Linked DNA regions of Tamandua tetradactyla. The protein of the gene in region 2 purifies or fractionates together with the protein of the main gene of each other region. This does not show direct contact. Links are inferred from orthologs where the notes say so. Each region holds a gene or a part of one and is shown on either strand. Other genes may lie near its edges.

What was found.
Region 1: the proteins of TUBB (region 2) and RICTOR purify together in Homo sapiens (affinity purification with mass spectrometry; 3 studies listed by BioGRID and IntAct, with this or other methods). This does not show direct contact. The link is inferred for Tamandua tetradactyla from reciprocal best matches to the Homo sapiens genes TUBB and RICTOR.

Annotation. Positions count from the first base shown.
Region 1 is NC_135335.1:89,140,531-89,148,517, reverse strand, and holds the start of RICTOR (rapamycin-insensitive companion of mTOR), read left to right. Parts: upstream 1-4,741; 5' UTR 4,742-4,767; coding exon 4,768-4,816; intron 4,817-4,988; coding exon 4,989-5,036; intron 5,037-7,987. UniProt on the Homo sapiens protein: Component of the mechanistic target of rapamycin complex 2 (mTORC2), which transduces signals from growth factors to pathways involved in proliferation, cytoskeletal organization, lipogenesis and anabolic output.
Region 2 is NC_135331.1:85,601,690-85,609,695, reverse strand, and holds the start of TUBB (tubulin beta chain), read right to left. Parts: upstream 3,195-8,006; 5' UTR 3,014-3,194; coding exon 2,957-3,013; intron 1,538-2,956; coding exon 1,429-1,537; intron 1,155-1,428; coding exon 1,044-1,154; intron 759-1,043; coding exon 1-758. UniProt on the Homo sapiens protein: Tubulin is the major constituent of microtubules, a cylinder consisting of laterally associated linear protofilaments composed of alpha- and beta-tubulin heterodimers.

The DNA.
Region 1 (7,987 bases), on a different chromosome or scaffold from region 2:
AGGCTGAAGATTAGAAAAAAAAGGCGTTTGAACAACAGGCAACATGAAAGCTTTGCTGTGCAGTTGGATGGAAGCATAGATGTTTCTACACTTTCTTTAGCTTTTGGTATTTGTTAAATTCCGTTCAATAACAAAATATACAAACAACTACTTTTTTTGCCTGTGCCACCCAAGTAACGATATATCAAAGAATGTGTATTTTTGCCAGGGAACAACTTCTTTAATAAAAGCAATGTTTTATGAAAAATTGATACAGTTGTTATAACTGAAATTTTAAAAAGGAATTTGAGCATAAGTATAGAAACAGGACTGTATGTGATAATTTAGTATAAAGGACATCTTTATGGCTTTAAAATGCAGTTTATTTCTACACACTTTGAAATGAGGAGAGTAGCTACAAAAATCTTTTGTACAACACAGAAGGTTGATATTTATATAGCAGCAACCTTTTTTGTTTCCATGATGACTGATAGCTTCTAGTAGCATGTTATGTATTAGACATCTCTTTTAAAAATTAAATCTAATCTTTTCCTTTAAGGTATAACGGTAACCAAGAAATTTACTACTTTTCAAAAAGAATTTTGTGCTACGAAGAGAGTATTAAAAAAACAGAAAATTTGAAATGTTTCCAGTTTTGTGATTTTTTTCTGAAAACATTAAAATTATTAGTCACCTATAAAACCCTTAATATGTGCACATCTAAATTTTATGTATGCAGCATTTTTTCGTTTATTTAAAAATCTTCCAGATGAAGTGTCTCAGTGGGTTTTGAAACCATTTGCTAAAACTTTATGAATCTTACATTTCCAGTTTACAAGGAAAACTGACAAGAGAATACAGACATTTACTTGCCAAAGTAGATCAACGGCCCTTTTTTTAAAACTGATGGATGGCACTGAAAAACCAGTGTTAGAATTTAGAAACTGCTTAGTTTCCATTTTTAACCTTGTATTTTGTGAGATATCAGCTACTAAAGCCCAAATCCAAATAAGCTCTTTAAACTGGTCCTCTGAATTACTAGCTCATAAATTATTTAACAAAAAATTAAAAAATTAGGAAGTATATTCAGTCCTATTGCTGTTTAGTTCTACCATTAATATAGCAAAATCCAAAATTATTTTTTACCATTTAAATTTAATCTTTATGTTGTATGTTCTGCTTTATAAAGAAAATAGATGTACATGTATTGGGGTACATGCTCAAATGTTCCTTTTTTAGTAATGAGATGTACAAACAAGTCTGACAGGTCCACTGGTTAGCAGATTATTAAAATCAAATGTTTGTAATTGTAGTTTAGTAATGTCAAAAAAAAAAATCCCTAAAATAGTTTTCCTAAGGAAAAAAAACTATATTGGTAAGTAATACAAATTTGCTTTAGAACCATTAATACAAGGAAAAGAAGGATAAAAAACACTAGAAATAATCCATGTTAAAATTTTAGTGCATTCCTTTGAGGATTTTACTTTTTGGATATTTCTGCATCTTTCTTTTTCACAAACATAAGTATATTCTTCATTTAAAATTGTATGCATAGACGACCTTTATACCTTACAGAATTTTAAAAACTAAAATTTAAAAGAACTTTTGGGACAGAGATTAAAATTTAAATGACTAATACTGGGAGGTTACTTTCTGCTGTGAGCAAGGCTGAAACTTCATAATCAACCCTGTGTAGGATTATAAGATTTGTTTAATTTAATCCATTCACTGTCATTTTCATGGCCTTTATCTAGATCTCAAATGTGTGGCTTAATTATGTAGAGAAGTTACCAAGAAATAGATGACTAAATTTTGCGGTTTTCAACTTGCTTTATCTTTATATGTCCTAAATAACAAGACAAAGAGATTAAAGGGAACTAAGATTTCGGTAAGGCTTTTGTTTCTGTTCAACATTACAAGTGTATCTGAAACTGATATTGTATGGTTTATAATGTAAATTATCCTGTGCCCAAAAGGATAGACAATAGACCCCAGAGAGTGATTATTAGTAGAGTCATCATATCTTTGGAATCAGTTTATCTTTTAGTGGGGGGATCTTAGACCTACTTTCATACAATTTCTTTTTTTTTTTTTTTTTATCAATGACTAATGTTATGAGAAAAACATTCATTGACACTGTACACAAAACCTGGTTGGGAAATGATAACTAAGAAGAGGAAGTAACTTTCTTAATGACCAGATCAGAATCAAAATGACACAGAAAATTGGAGAAGTAGTAAGAGGCAAACAAAATAAGTAAGACATAGTGTGGGCTAAAATAAGAAAAACAAGTTTCAAAAAGAGGAATAGCTAACTATTCTCAGTAACACAGAAAATAATTTAGGGATTAAAACAACCAGCAGACTAGGATCAATAATGTTGTGCTTGCTATTGTTTAAAAGGCAAAAACAATATTGTTAATTGTATTCCTTACTAAAAGAGATGTGTTCTCTAAACTGCTTTCTTGTTGGGCATCTCTTTTCACTTTAAGAACAAATGTGAAGACCTTACTTACCCACTCAAATGACTGAAATAGTTAACAGGAAAAACTAGTTTCATTGTCAGATTGAAGAAAGAAGATACTTTTTTTTCTGCCCTAACAGATGAAGTAAATGAAGAAAGGGGTGATTGAATAAATAGGAACATACAGTTATAAAGATGAAAACCTACTGGATTCAGGCTCTCAAATCCTGAATCTCAAGTACTTTAATAAAAAAGTGGATCAGTTGTACTCTACTTTCATGAAAGACTGAGAGAATGAATTTAAATTGTATTAGGAAGAAGTTAATTTACAATAGATATAAAAGATCAGATAAAAAGGGCTGATTGAAAATTGGAACAATTGAATTTCCATGGATACAGATCCATTTTTTTTTTAAGTGGTGAAATGTGATACATGGAAGGAAGAAATATAACATTTTTAATATTCTGGTCAGATCTCAAGTTTTACTGCCTAATGCAGTAACTAGAGTAATTTGCACAAGGACTTGCAAAGTCTAAAAGAGGGGGCAAGTTTTCTGTTACTGAAACTTCTGGTACTGTCAGGAGGCATTTCTTTTGAAGTATGGTAATTGTGTTGCATCTTTTAAGTGCACATGAACTGCAGATATCTGAATGCAATATCGGACTGCACAGACAGAGGGTTTCTTAAGGAAGCAGGGATCCTGTTTTATTTTCCTGATGCTCCTCTATGCCGCTTTTTTCTTTTTAAAATTTTTGTTTATTGTACAAGAGATATATATTAATTACAGAACACTTCAAAGATAGAGATAAACAAGGACTAAAAACGCATGTGAAATTTCACAATTGCGGGTGGGTGGGGGGAATCAATGGACATTTTGGTATATAATTTCTCATATTTTTCGGTATATATATGTAATTGTATATTATGAAATATACTTATATGTATTTTGAACGTTTATAAAAATCGTAACTTATATCTTTGTAATCTCTTTCTTGATTTAACATCATACACAGTATTTCCTACTACATCACTTAAAGCCTGCCGAAATTTACATAACCAATCCCCTACATTTAGTCATTTGTTTCCAATTTTCCATTATTATAAACAACTGCAAAATCCATCTCCCACATTGGATTTTAAAGCAAGAAAAGCATTGGAACAAGGAGGAAATCCAGGGCATCTACTCATCCAACATGTTTAATGAACACAGGCTGGGAACTGGGAAAAGAGAGGTGGCTAAGGTCTCCACCTCAATTAACTTCCAGTCTCATGGAGTAGAAAGAAAAACAGTTGAGGAACAGGAGGCAAGAAAATGCCTCTTTCAAAAGTGAATTCAGTTTGAAAGAAAGTTGCGGGATCAAGGGTTATCTGCATATATATTGGATAGCTAAAGCAGTTTCTACCATTAAATAGCCCAACGGTTAATAACTATTAGGTTTATGTATAACAATGTCAATACGCATCCACAGTAGCCACTGCTCTAGAAGCTACACAGACAGTAAACCCGGGCACAAGGCTCCGCAACCTCTCCTAGGATGTAGAAAGAGAGGAAACGCCCTCCCCCCGGCCTGCTGGCGCTACCGCGCGCCCGGGAACAATCCCACCGCCGGAGACGACCACCCTCCTCTCCCGGCTCCTTCGCCACTGCCTCACGCCCTACGCTAGGCAGTCAAAAACAAGACCTCCATCCAATGATTCCGACTCGGAGAAGCCCTGAGTATGGTTTTGAATGCTCGCACGATGGTCAGAGCGAAAGGGAAAAACAAACTTTGTTGCACGTTAACTTGGTTAGAGGAAAGCGACTCTCGGGAGCGATTTAAGTGAGGTTAAAACTGTATGCAGTGTTTCTGAGAAACACCGTTTTAAATGAAGAATAAAGGGGCGAGATTGTCTATCCCAGGCTCGAAGGCAACAGAATCCGGCAGGATGCTTTCAGCAGGTGGCCAGTCGGCCGCCTCCCAACCTCCTCCAACTCCTGCTCGGTTTTGACCGTACGGTTCCGCGGCGGCTGGGGGGAAAGTATTCTCCACGCTGCATATTCCCATCAATGGGATTCCCCTCGTGGGAAATGCCTCTTCTTAGCAACACGCGCCCTCGAATTGCCGGACCGGCACCGCCCTCTCCTCATCCCGGGTGGGCGCTGAGAGCTGCTCCGAGACGCGGGGCCACCGGCCACGCGCCACCCAAAGACGCTCAGGCGAGCAAGGGGCGGAGGAGATGCAGCCGGGGCGGGGAGGGGGAGGGCGGGCACGGCGCGCGGGGAGGGGAAGGGGTTCTCGCGCGATTGGGCGAGGTTTCCGGTGTTGTGACTGAAACCCGTCAATATGGCGGCGATCGGCCGCGGCCGCTCGCTTAAGAACCTTCGAATACGAGGTAAGCCTGCTGCAGCCCTCGCCGCATGCCGTTCGGCGCCCGCTACCCCTGGCACTTGCCTCCCCCTGGTCCTGGGTGGAGGGAGCGAACCGGGGCGCTGGCTGTATCCAAGGCTGCCGCCGCTGGCCTGCGAGCGAATCCTAAGTGGGTTGTGTGTCTGTGTTTCTCGCAGGGCGGAATGACAGCGGCGAAGAGAATGTCCCGCTGGATCTGACGCGAGGTAACTCACGGCGCCTCGGGCTCCCGCGAGGGCGTGCTGGTGGGGAGGAGTCGGGGCCGGGGGCAGGGGCCGGGGCCGGGGCCGGGGCCGGGGCCGGGGCAGGGGCGGGCTCCCGTTCGGGACCGGCGGGTGCGGGGGCAGAGCCGGAGCCCCGCCTGCCGGCCCGCGGGAACCGAGCCCGGGGCCGCCTCTCCGGACCGTCCCCATCCCCCTTCTTGGTGCTACTTCCCTTGCCCCTCGCCCTCCTCCCGGCCTCGGGTGCTGCGGTTGCTGGGAGCCCCCAGAGGGACTCGGCGGGCCGGTGACCCTTTAGATTCCCTGAACGCCCCGGAGCGTTTTACCCCTATCCCAGAGATCGTACAGTTGAATCCTGGGGGCGGCCGAAGGGAGGTAGAGTTGTTATTTAGGTTGCAAGAGGATGTCTGAGGGAAGAGCGACCACATCCTGCCCTGCCGGTCCCCCGGATCAGAAACTGGACCTTCTCAGTGCTTGCTGATTGCGTGACTGCTTTTCTCTTTGCCCACCGCCTTGGGGGACCCCAGTGTTGATAACTCGGTATTGAGTCCTGGAGCGGATCCTCGCTGCTAAGTGTATAAACTGTATTCCCTCCTGCTTTCCTTTCTCGGCCGCTGGGACAGTAGTTGGCAAAGACTGCCCCCTTACCCTGATGCAGGTTCATTGTTTACCTTCTGCAGTGGAGATGGGTTTGTTTACACCTTCTGAACTGGGTAAACCCCGGTTATATTTTTAAGGGACTAATCCTGCTACAAGTCAGTATTTCTATTACCAGTCGACGTACTGGAGTTTATTCGACGATGTCTTGTTGACAATTTATTAGTAATATACATGATTTTTCTTTTCCACAGTAAACTCGATTTCGTTTACTGATTCCAACATTCCTATTTCATACCTACTATAGCTTAGTGTAATCTGATTCAGGTACACAAATCACTTTCCGTTTTGAGATCTGAAAAAACACCCTAGGAAGTTATTAAAAAAAAAAAGTCGTTGTAAACATTCTATATGAAATAAAAGTTTTTGCTTTTTTACCCTTTGTTGTACTTGACATAATTATTCTTATCTACAGAATTTGTTAGAGGTGGGATTATTGTTGAGTCTCATATCTATATTTAAAGAATAATGAATTATCTTTTATTTTGTTTAGCATAATGTAAGATTACCCTTAGAAACTGTAGGATTAGTTTCTTTGAACTATAAGAGTGCATTTCTGTAACGATATTTTATTCTGAAAGTTCGAGGATTAGGTTTCTGTAAACATATATCCTTTACAGGCAGAAGAGTTTCTAAAATACAACATAGTAGGGCTTAAATAATAGAAATGGGGATTAATTAGATCGTCAGTGTACTAAATCAGAACATTTTTTCCAGCAGATAGGTTTTGAGAATTAGTGTAGAGATGTAAAGTTTTTGACTTTTGTATGACAGTTTAGAAACTTGACTGTATGTGGTATATAACACACATATGAGAAATATGAATAAAATATATGTAGAAAAAGATTTCCTTATAAACTTCCTAACAAAATGAACGTAATTTCTTCAAGAGCAGAAACTTGGCAATCCAGTCCTGTAACAGATGTAGTGTTAGTGATTTAATTTATCTATGAATGTATGTTTTTTAGATGGAAGTGCATAGAGTACTTATTAGGTAGATTTTATTTGTGCGTTAAAAACTTGCTAGGATGTGGTGCTGACTATAAGTAATGACTGTGTTTTAAGCTGAGTTTGCCGAGGTTTTATATATAGTGAGTTCTCTGATTAGTGCCAGAATTCTGGGTTGTACAAGATTATGGTTGTACAAAATTATGTAGGAATTTGATTTGATGCTATTAGTTTGCTGCAGTTTCACTTAAGTATACAGATAACTCTGTTTTTACTATTTAAAATGGTATATTCCTTAAGCAGTTTATAAACTCCTACAATGTCCATAGATATTTCCAGGGTAATATAAACTGTGCAGAAAATGCTGTTTCTATTTGCCCTAACAATATTTACTTCAGTTCGTAGTAAAATATACACAGTCAATTGAAACTGAAGGCAAAGGCAATATACAGTTAAGTGTGAAAGGTTATATGAGGACTGTATTCCTAAATTCTAAGGAAATTTAGAATATAAAAAGTAATCTGAATTAGATTCATTATATAGTGACACTATTGTTTAAACAAATTGTTACTCTGACACACATTTCCTTGTTAAAAGAAGGCTTATGGATCTAACGTGAAAGTTCATGAGAAATTAAACTTTAGGAATAACTTCAGAAAAGACATAGTTGGTTGGAGCTAAAGAGTAGCAGTTTTTGGATTAGATTACAATATGTAATGATGGCTTGGCTTACCTTGCCAAATTGAGGTCTGGGAGAATTTCTTTGGTTTTGGTACTAAAGCTTCGTACTGGGTGCTGGTACTGAAACATAGTATTAGTGCTCATAAATAGTGTACCTTAATTAAAAATTGTTAATTGAAACCTTTTAACCTAGTTTAGGAACTTTATTGTCATAGATTGTACAATTTATTGGTAAATGTTGCTTTCAGTTTTGTTTAGACAACTACCTAATTTGTGAAAGATCCTGAAATTTGCTAATATATCATTATTCTATTTTGCATGCTCACATCTATTTTGAAATCCAAATGCTTCCCTTAGCCACTTCCCTTCTAGGAGAGACCATTTTTTATCATTTCAGTAGTGCATTTGTTCCTGATACTGAATAACTTATCTTTCTAATATAGTTTAATTATTTTATTCAAAGTAAATCCCCAGAACATAGACACAGCTGTGTTCACATTCATTCAAAATATAATTTATTAGAAAATAATTATTTTTGAGTTTTGAATATCCAACTCTTTACTTTGTTATTAAGAAAAGAAAGTTGACTGCCTTGATTGATGTTTAACACTTAGAAAAATAGGACAGTTATCTGAATGATTCATGTTTGA
Region 2 (8,006 bases):
GATCCATTCCACAAAGTAGCTGCTATTCTTGTTCTGCACATTGAGCATCTGCTCATCCACCTCCTTCATGGACATCCGCCCGCGGAAGACAGCAGCCACAGTGAGGTACCGGCCATGGCGGGGGTCACAGGCAGCCATCATGTTCTTGGCGTCGAAGACCTGCTGGGTGAGTTCGGGCACAGTGAGAGCCCGGTACTGCTGGCTGCCACGGCTGGTCAGAGGGGCAAAGCCAGGCATGAAAAAGTGGAGACGGGGGAAGGGCACCATATTGACTGCCAGCTTACGGAGGTCAGCATTGAGCTGGCCAGGGAAGCGAAGGCAAGTGGTGACACCGCTCATGGTGGCTGAGACGAGGTGGTTCAGGTCTCCATAGGTTGGTGTGGTCAGCTTGAGGGTGCGGAAGCAGATGTCGTAGAGGGCTTCGTTGTCAATGCAGTAGGTCTCATCTGTGTTCTCTACCAACTGGTGGACCGAGAGGGTGGCATTGTAGGGCTCAACCACTGTGTCAGACACTTTGGGTGAGGGAACCACGCTGAAGGTGTTCATGATACGGTCAGGATACTCTTCACGGATCTTGCTGATGAGCAAGGTGCCCATTCCAGAGCCTGTGCCCCCGCCCAGCGAGTGGGTCAGCTGGAAGCCTTGCAGGCAGTCACAGCTCTCGGCCTCCTTCCTCACCACATCCAGGACCGAATCGACCAGCTCGGCCCCCTCTGTATAGTGGCCCTTAGCCCAGTTGTTGCCTGCCCCAGACTGACCTGGAAAGGAGTTCAGAGGTAAGCTTAATTAAGAAGGTTTGGAAGCTATGTGACCATACATCTACCTTTTATCTTTTACAATAATTCCTTTAGATGTATTTCCTTTCTCCCTCAGCTGTAATGTATCCATCCTCATAATTTACTAGTTAGGGCAGTTACCACCACTACCCTCCTCCTTCAGATTTTATAACTCTCTAAAAACTCTCCACTACAACTACCTCCAAACCTTTTCTATTTTCACACACCTAAATAAATTGAATATGATGGTATCTACTAACAACTCACCAAAAACAAAGTTGTCTGGTCTGAAGATCTGGCCAAAAGGACCTGAGCGAACAGAGTCCATAGTCCCAGGTTCTAGATCCACCAAGATAGCACGAGGAACATACTTGCCACCTATAGGGGAGAAAGTACAGGAATGAGAATTGGCAGGTGGGGAAGATAAATAACATATTAGGGTTAGGAAAGAGCCTGAGACCTAGACTTGTGATTCCAAACCCTGCCACCAGGTGGCAGCAGAACTAAGCTTTGGTTCCAGGTGGGAGACGGGGAAGAAATCAAAATGAAAGGTCTCCAAAGGACGAGGATTCATCCAAAGGGGGTTCCTCGGGAATGGAGACATGAAGCAGGATAATATAGGACCCCAAGCCTTCGGGGCACCTTCTCTCACCTGTGGCTTCATTGTAGTACACGGAGATGCGATCCAGCTGCAGGTCGCTGTCCCCATGGTAGGTGCCGGTAGGGTCGATGCCGTGTTCATCGCTGATGACCTCCCAGAACTGCCGGTTAAGAATAATGAGCCCACAACCGCTCAGATCCCAACTATCACCTTCTTTCCCCTATTTTAATTCCAGTCGCGCCCATGGTAGGTGCTGTACGAGGGCCCGGCATCCCCTCAATCCCCCAGCCACACCCTTCCCCTAGACACCCACAGCCCCGGGGTAAGCTGCAGCTTCTGTGTTTTATTCAGCTCATTCACGGTTTGGGGAAAGTGATGTGGGACTGAGAGGACCCGGAGGTATCAGGCACCCGGGTGGGGGAAGAGAGAGGGAGCAGGCGGACCCGCCTAGGTAAGCCCCGCCCCCGCCGGGCCCCGCCCCTCCACGCAGCAAACAAAGGGCCGCTGGACGCAGAACTGCAGCTGCAGCCCAGGCCCCCAACTCGGCCTTCATGTGACTGCAGCGCACGCGCGGGTCTAGCCGCCGACAATGGGAGGCGTCGCGCGTGGGAGAGGCGGGGCCAAGGGCTTGAATTACGGGCGCGTGGGGCGGCGCCCGGCTGGGGCTCGCGCGCCCCCGCGGGCCAGCAGGACCGCATTGTCCTCGCGCGCCTAGGGCGCCCCGCCCCGCCGGGCCCGCCCTTCTGCTACAACGTAGCAGCGGCACTTCCTCCCGTCCCCTCCCCCGCTACACTGTAACCGCGCGCAAAAAAAAAAAAAAAAAAAAACCCTAGGCCTTGGAATTTTATTCCTTCGCTAAGTTTCTTTTTCTTGCTTTAAAGGAGGGTTGCCCCTCTCCCACTTAGTCTCCTACGGCTATTTTAAGCGGGCATGCTCCCTCCTTTTCTTCCACCCTCTCCCTATCTGTTCACTCCGTTAAAGGATCTCGTTAAGGAAAAATGAAATAAAATTGATCACGTACATTTTATCCTTTCATTCACTTAAAACTACAGGGACCGGAGCCGTGCGGGGGTCCCTTATCTTTTGTTAAGGGGGCCGGGCAGCAGTCCACATGGCGCATTGTACCCCACCCCACCCCCAGTTAGGCTAGACGCCCTCTGCAGCTGCCCGCCCAGCCTCGCCCCTTCCCCCTCGGGCTTCGCCCTAGGAACTCCCGCCAAGGGGGGGGGGGGGCGAGCGCGAGATGCACATGGGGCAGGCTCGCCTCGCTTTGTCTCGGGAGGTTTCCGCATCTCGCTCCCCAGTCCTCGGACCGTTAGGAGATCCTCTAAGTGCAATTTTACAACTCCTCGGTTTTCCCGCCCCCGAAACCCGAAGGGTCCTTTCCGAAAGTGAGCCTGCCAAGAAAAATAATCCCCCATTTTCCAAAGGCAAATTCTAGCCACAAATATGTATAAAACTTCCCCCCCCCCAGCTTAAGGATGGAGAGCACGAATATCCCACAATCATTCTTCATAATTTAAGGCTTTCCTTCTTCCTGCTCAAAAGAAATACAGTTAAAGAGATTTAAAATCCTTACCTTGGCACCGATCTGGTTGCCACACTGACCAGCCTGGATGTGCACGATTTCCCTCATGGTTAAAATTTATTTTAACTTTTTGCTCGCCTCAAAGTGTGTGCGGGGCAAGAGAATGATATGGAATCTTTCCCTCCGCGGGTCGCAAGCTGGCAGGATGGCTCGTGGCCCGGAGGCTGGAGCAGCAAGGTCCGAACGCGGCAGCAGGAAGGCTTTGAGAGGGAGAAAGAAGGAGGGGGGAGGGAGAGGGAGGGAAGGCGGGCAGGGCGGGGCGCGCGTGCGCGGCGGCTGGGAGGCGGGAGAACCGGCCCCGCGCGGCGGTCGGGAGACAAAGCCTCATCCACGCTGGCCCTGATTAGTTGATGGCAGTCATATACCAGCCGTCCATTGGTCTCGACTCGCAGTGGACGAGCGCGCTCCTCTCTGGGAGTTGTAGTCCTCTATTGTTGTCCACGCCGCAAAATGAGGTGACTAAAGGGTGGGTACCGGGTGATTTTTTTTGTGTTTCGTTTTCTTTTGTTCTTTTAATGAAAAATGATGACCTTGTGCAAGATCGCTTTCTTTACTCCTGAGTTTTTTTGCACAGAAAGGGAGTTTTCGAAGATACAGGAATTGGGAAGACTGAGATGCCAGGCGTTGGGAAGTGGGGTGGGCACGCCCAGAAAGCTCCCTGCTGCCTTAGCTCTTGAAAAGATAGGAATGCTTAGTTCAGCGAAAACTGGGGAGAAATGCGGCACCCTGCTCTGCTACCCGACGTCTGGTTCTTTGTTGACCAAACCTGAACTCCAGTAAACCACTGCGCCTCAGGAAGCAGTTGGGGATTGTCCTTCTCTTATTTATTCGCTTGAGAATTTTCGAATGATGTTTCGAAAGAGAAACAGTATTGCAGCAAGGACTTTCCAGGATAGAGATGTAGCTGCTGGAGGGTATGTTCAAAGAATAAGTTGAATGGTTTAGGCAAGTTGATGTCAGAGTACTGTGAAGCCAGAAGTTTCAGTCCAGTAGGGAATCTGGGCCTCATGTGGGCGTTGTAGACATCTTGGTTTTCTTGTCAAGCAAGGAACTATGGAGTTATATGTCTGATAGAAATAGCAGGGTCTTTCCAGCTTGCCTTTCTAGGTACTTTGATGAAGGCAATGTTTTTTCAGTTTGCTGCTTTCATTTGTAGCTAACTTCAAGAGCTACAAATGAAATGGGGAGAATGGGGGGATCGATTGGTAAGGAGAAATCGGATGGGATCCAACAATGCCACTCTGACCAAAAGGGAAAAGAAGTGTAACAAATAAGGTATCAGTGGCTGAGAGAGGTCGAGAGGCTACTCTGGAGGTCACTCTTAAGCTTCAGTTAGACATCGTTACCTATCATAACTTGCCAAACCCTAACCAAAATCATTCTTGCCAATCCTAAGAGTGCCCAGGGAAATATATAAGATTCTACCAAAGTTCCGTGCATTAGGGTTACCTACAACCTCCAGATGGGTCCCTGGACAAGATAAATCCTGAATGCAGAGGGGCCATCCTCTCCAGAACATCAACTGGTTCCATCCCCCATCCCATATTTTCAACAGCCCCCTCCAACGTGAAAAAGTTAGAATGGACATAGCCCAAATACCCCTAGAGAGTGGGAGAAAGCTCAAAGATGATGGTGTAGTTATACAGAGAAGGTAGGGTTTAACAAATGAGTATGATTGCTGAATCATTCATTACATTGATATTTATTTTCATCTCCAAGTGTCTTAGAGCAGCTAGAAGTAAAAACCTAAAATTGTGGAAGTGTGACCCATACCAACCTCTGAAAACTGTTCTACAACTAATTGTTGCCATTTGCTTTGAAATTTATTGCTTTTTTGTATATGTTATTTTTCACAAAAAAAGTTGATTGTGATTATAAAAGCACAGCTATATGATGATATTGTGAATGTGCGCTTTGGATGATTACATGGTATGAGAATATATAATATAAATAATCTTAAAAATTGGATGGGATGATGTCACAGTAGCTTGCCTTTTGTTCCCAAATATCCAGTCATTTGATAGATATTACGTGTTCATCAAACCAGAAGCTAGAGATACAAAAATGATTAAGAACTAGCGTCCTGTCTTCCAGGACCTCAGTTTGATGAGAGTTGGATAAACATAGTAACAATAGTGTGGGAAGCACTATAATAGAGATGTGATTTCAAGGTCGTCATTGTTAATTCACATTGGATTTAATACATTTCTCAAGTCACCTTCTAAATAATGGAATATCAAGTTGTGTAAGACCCTTCCTCATCTAGTCACTTTAGATAGAATATTTTATGTTCTATACCATGATCACAACGAAAGCCATTATTTTGTGGCAGTGGAAAGAGTTTAGAACTTAGAGGACTTGTTTCGAATTTATCTCTACCTTACATTAGCTTTAGGAACCTTGGCAAGTCGTTTAAACCGCAGAGCTTCAATTCCTACGTTTGTTAAAATCTAGTTCTGCCTCTTGTATTATGTGGTCAGAATTAAATGAGAACTAATGGGAAAAATAAATGCATTTCAAAGTGCTGCAATTCTTTTCATGTCAGCTTGAGATACTGAAATGATTTTATTATCCTCCCACTCGTTGAAAGGTGCGGACAGATCTCAGTAATCCTTTTAAGACGGTTAGCCCAGCAGTTCTCTCTGTTCGCCTAGGGATCTGTGCTTTAGGAAAATGACCTCAAAATCTCCGTCAGTGATGTATCCCCAAGAAGAAATGACATGACCTCTGCAGAACAAGACAAGTCAAAAGGAAATGAAATTCCATTGCTATGAGGAGTCCTCAAGCGCCACGCCTACGGCCTGTTCGCACTGCAGCCTGCAGCCACGACTGCAAGCCGCAACCCACTTCTCATGAGTCAGCGGACACCATGTCTGGGAGGACCGAGAAAGGACGCCCTGGCCGCACCAAACGCATTGAGCGATGGCTATCGTATAGCCCTTCTATCCTCCGCAAGCAGCGGGCGCCAAACTCTATGGTCACGGTTTGGAAATCTGCGCGGGAAGTGGGCAGTGAGCGGTGAAGCGGCGGTGGGTTGTCCCTTGGAACTGCCCAATCGAGGTGCGTAGTTGCCTGCGCGCAGAGCAACATCGGATTAGTGTCTCGCAGTGTCCTGCGAGAAGCTGCCCGGGCGGGGCGGGGTGGGGCATGCCGGGGGTGGAGTTTGGGCTGCTTCAGCGCGGGAGGCTCCCCCAATCAGCGTGCAGCCGAGCTGTGAAGACAGCCTCAGGAGCCAATCAGCGAATCGGCTCCTTCCCGGCGTCCGCGCTCGCGCCACCTGGATCGCGGCCGTTACTAGCGGCGCGCGCGACGACTCAAAGTAGGTGAGTTCTGGACGCCCAGTCCGCTGCTCCCCGGGTGCCATCTTGATTCTCCCGGAGGGCGGGAGGGGCGTGCCCTAGGGGCGCCTGGGCGGAGGCGACTCGGAAGTTTGCTTCTGGGATTGTCCTGCCCATCCGCACCTGACGCCCCGCCCCGAGCTTAGGTCCGAAGACGCAGGGAGACGTTGGATCCTGAGGGGACCCATTGGTGTAAGGTTCCAAGATGGTGGCCCTTGGGTTGGAGTCAAGGGTCGTGGGGGACCCGCTTAGTTGTTCACAGGGTCGGAGTTAACACTTTTTCCTACTTGTCACCAGTCAATGGTTTCTCTCTAGGGTGGCATCTTTTTAAGTGGATTCTACCCGTGTTATTTTGAGTTTACATCTCCTTCCATTTGTTCTTTTTTCGATAAGCTCGGCGATGTAACTCTAGGAGGGCAAGGTTAATGGCCCTGCCCACGAATGGGTGTTGAAGGCCCAAATGAAAGTAATAGTTCCAGTGTGATAAGAACTGTTAGGAGAGACACGAGTCCATTGATCCCTGTGGAACACACAGGATCCACCAGGCGTCCTGGAAAGGCTTTGCTGAGGAAATGACATTTAAACGGAATTTTGAAGAATAAGTGGGAGTTGAACAAGGAAACTAGGAGTGAAGGGCAAGGGCAAGCTGGGCTAAAGCAGGCAGGTGTAAGGAGATGCGGGGATAGTATGTTGAGAGATAGGGGAGAAGGCCCATTTGGCTGAACCATAGGCTGTTGGGGCAGGAAGGTTAGTGCATTGCTGGACATGAGGTTCAGCTAATTGAGGGTTTTACTAAAGAGTTTAGGTTTTTGTTTTGTCCTGGGATCATGGAAAGCCTTCAACGGGTATTGACAGAGGCGAGACATTATCTGGGTGATCTTGGACATGTTCTTTAACACATCTGTGTCACAGGTTCTTTTATCAGAAAAATGGGAGCTACCAGCTACCTTAAAGTGTTTTGTACAGGTTAAGTGAATCAGTCAGTGTGAATTAATTAAAACAGTGCTTTGCACAAAGCAAGCCTCTGTATGTCACCAGGTATTGTGATTCTTTGCAGTTTTCTCTGACCACACTATATGGCAAAGTGTAAAACACATGGACCTTGCAGCCAGAAGCACATTTATTCCTGTCCTTTCCATTTGCTGTGTTATCCTGAGCAAATGATTTAATATTTTTAGTCTTAGTTTCCAAAATGCCTTTCTCATATGGCCGTTAATGCCAGACATGTAACACAATGCCTGGGCCATAGTTAATGTTCAGCAAACGTTTGTTCCCTTTAAAATTATGTTTTTCAGGGTGGGCAAAGGTGGCATAGTGGCAGAGTTCTCACCTGCCATGCCAGAGACCCGTGTTGGCTTCCTGGTGCCTGCCCATACAAAAAAAAAGAAAAATTATGTTTTTCAAACTGAATTATGACCCAAGAGTAAATAGTGAAATCAGTGTAGTGGTTTGCAAATTAGCATTTAAAAAACAGAGAATTTAAAAAAAGAATGAAAAGATATCAGTGTATTGTAAATAGTAGGGTTTAGCATTATTTCTCAAAACCGTATTTTTATAAATAAGCACAAAGGTTTAAATATATCTGTACCAGGAGCCATATCATTTTCTACTTTATGTCATCATCAAAAATGTTTGAGAAATACTTCAAAAGACTATCGAGAGAATGAATGAGAGAAAAAGAAGCATCAGTTTCCACAACTATC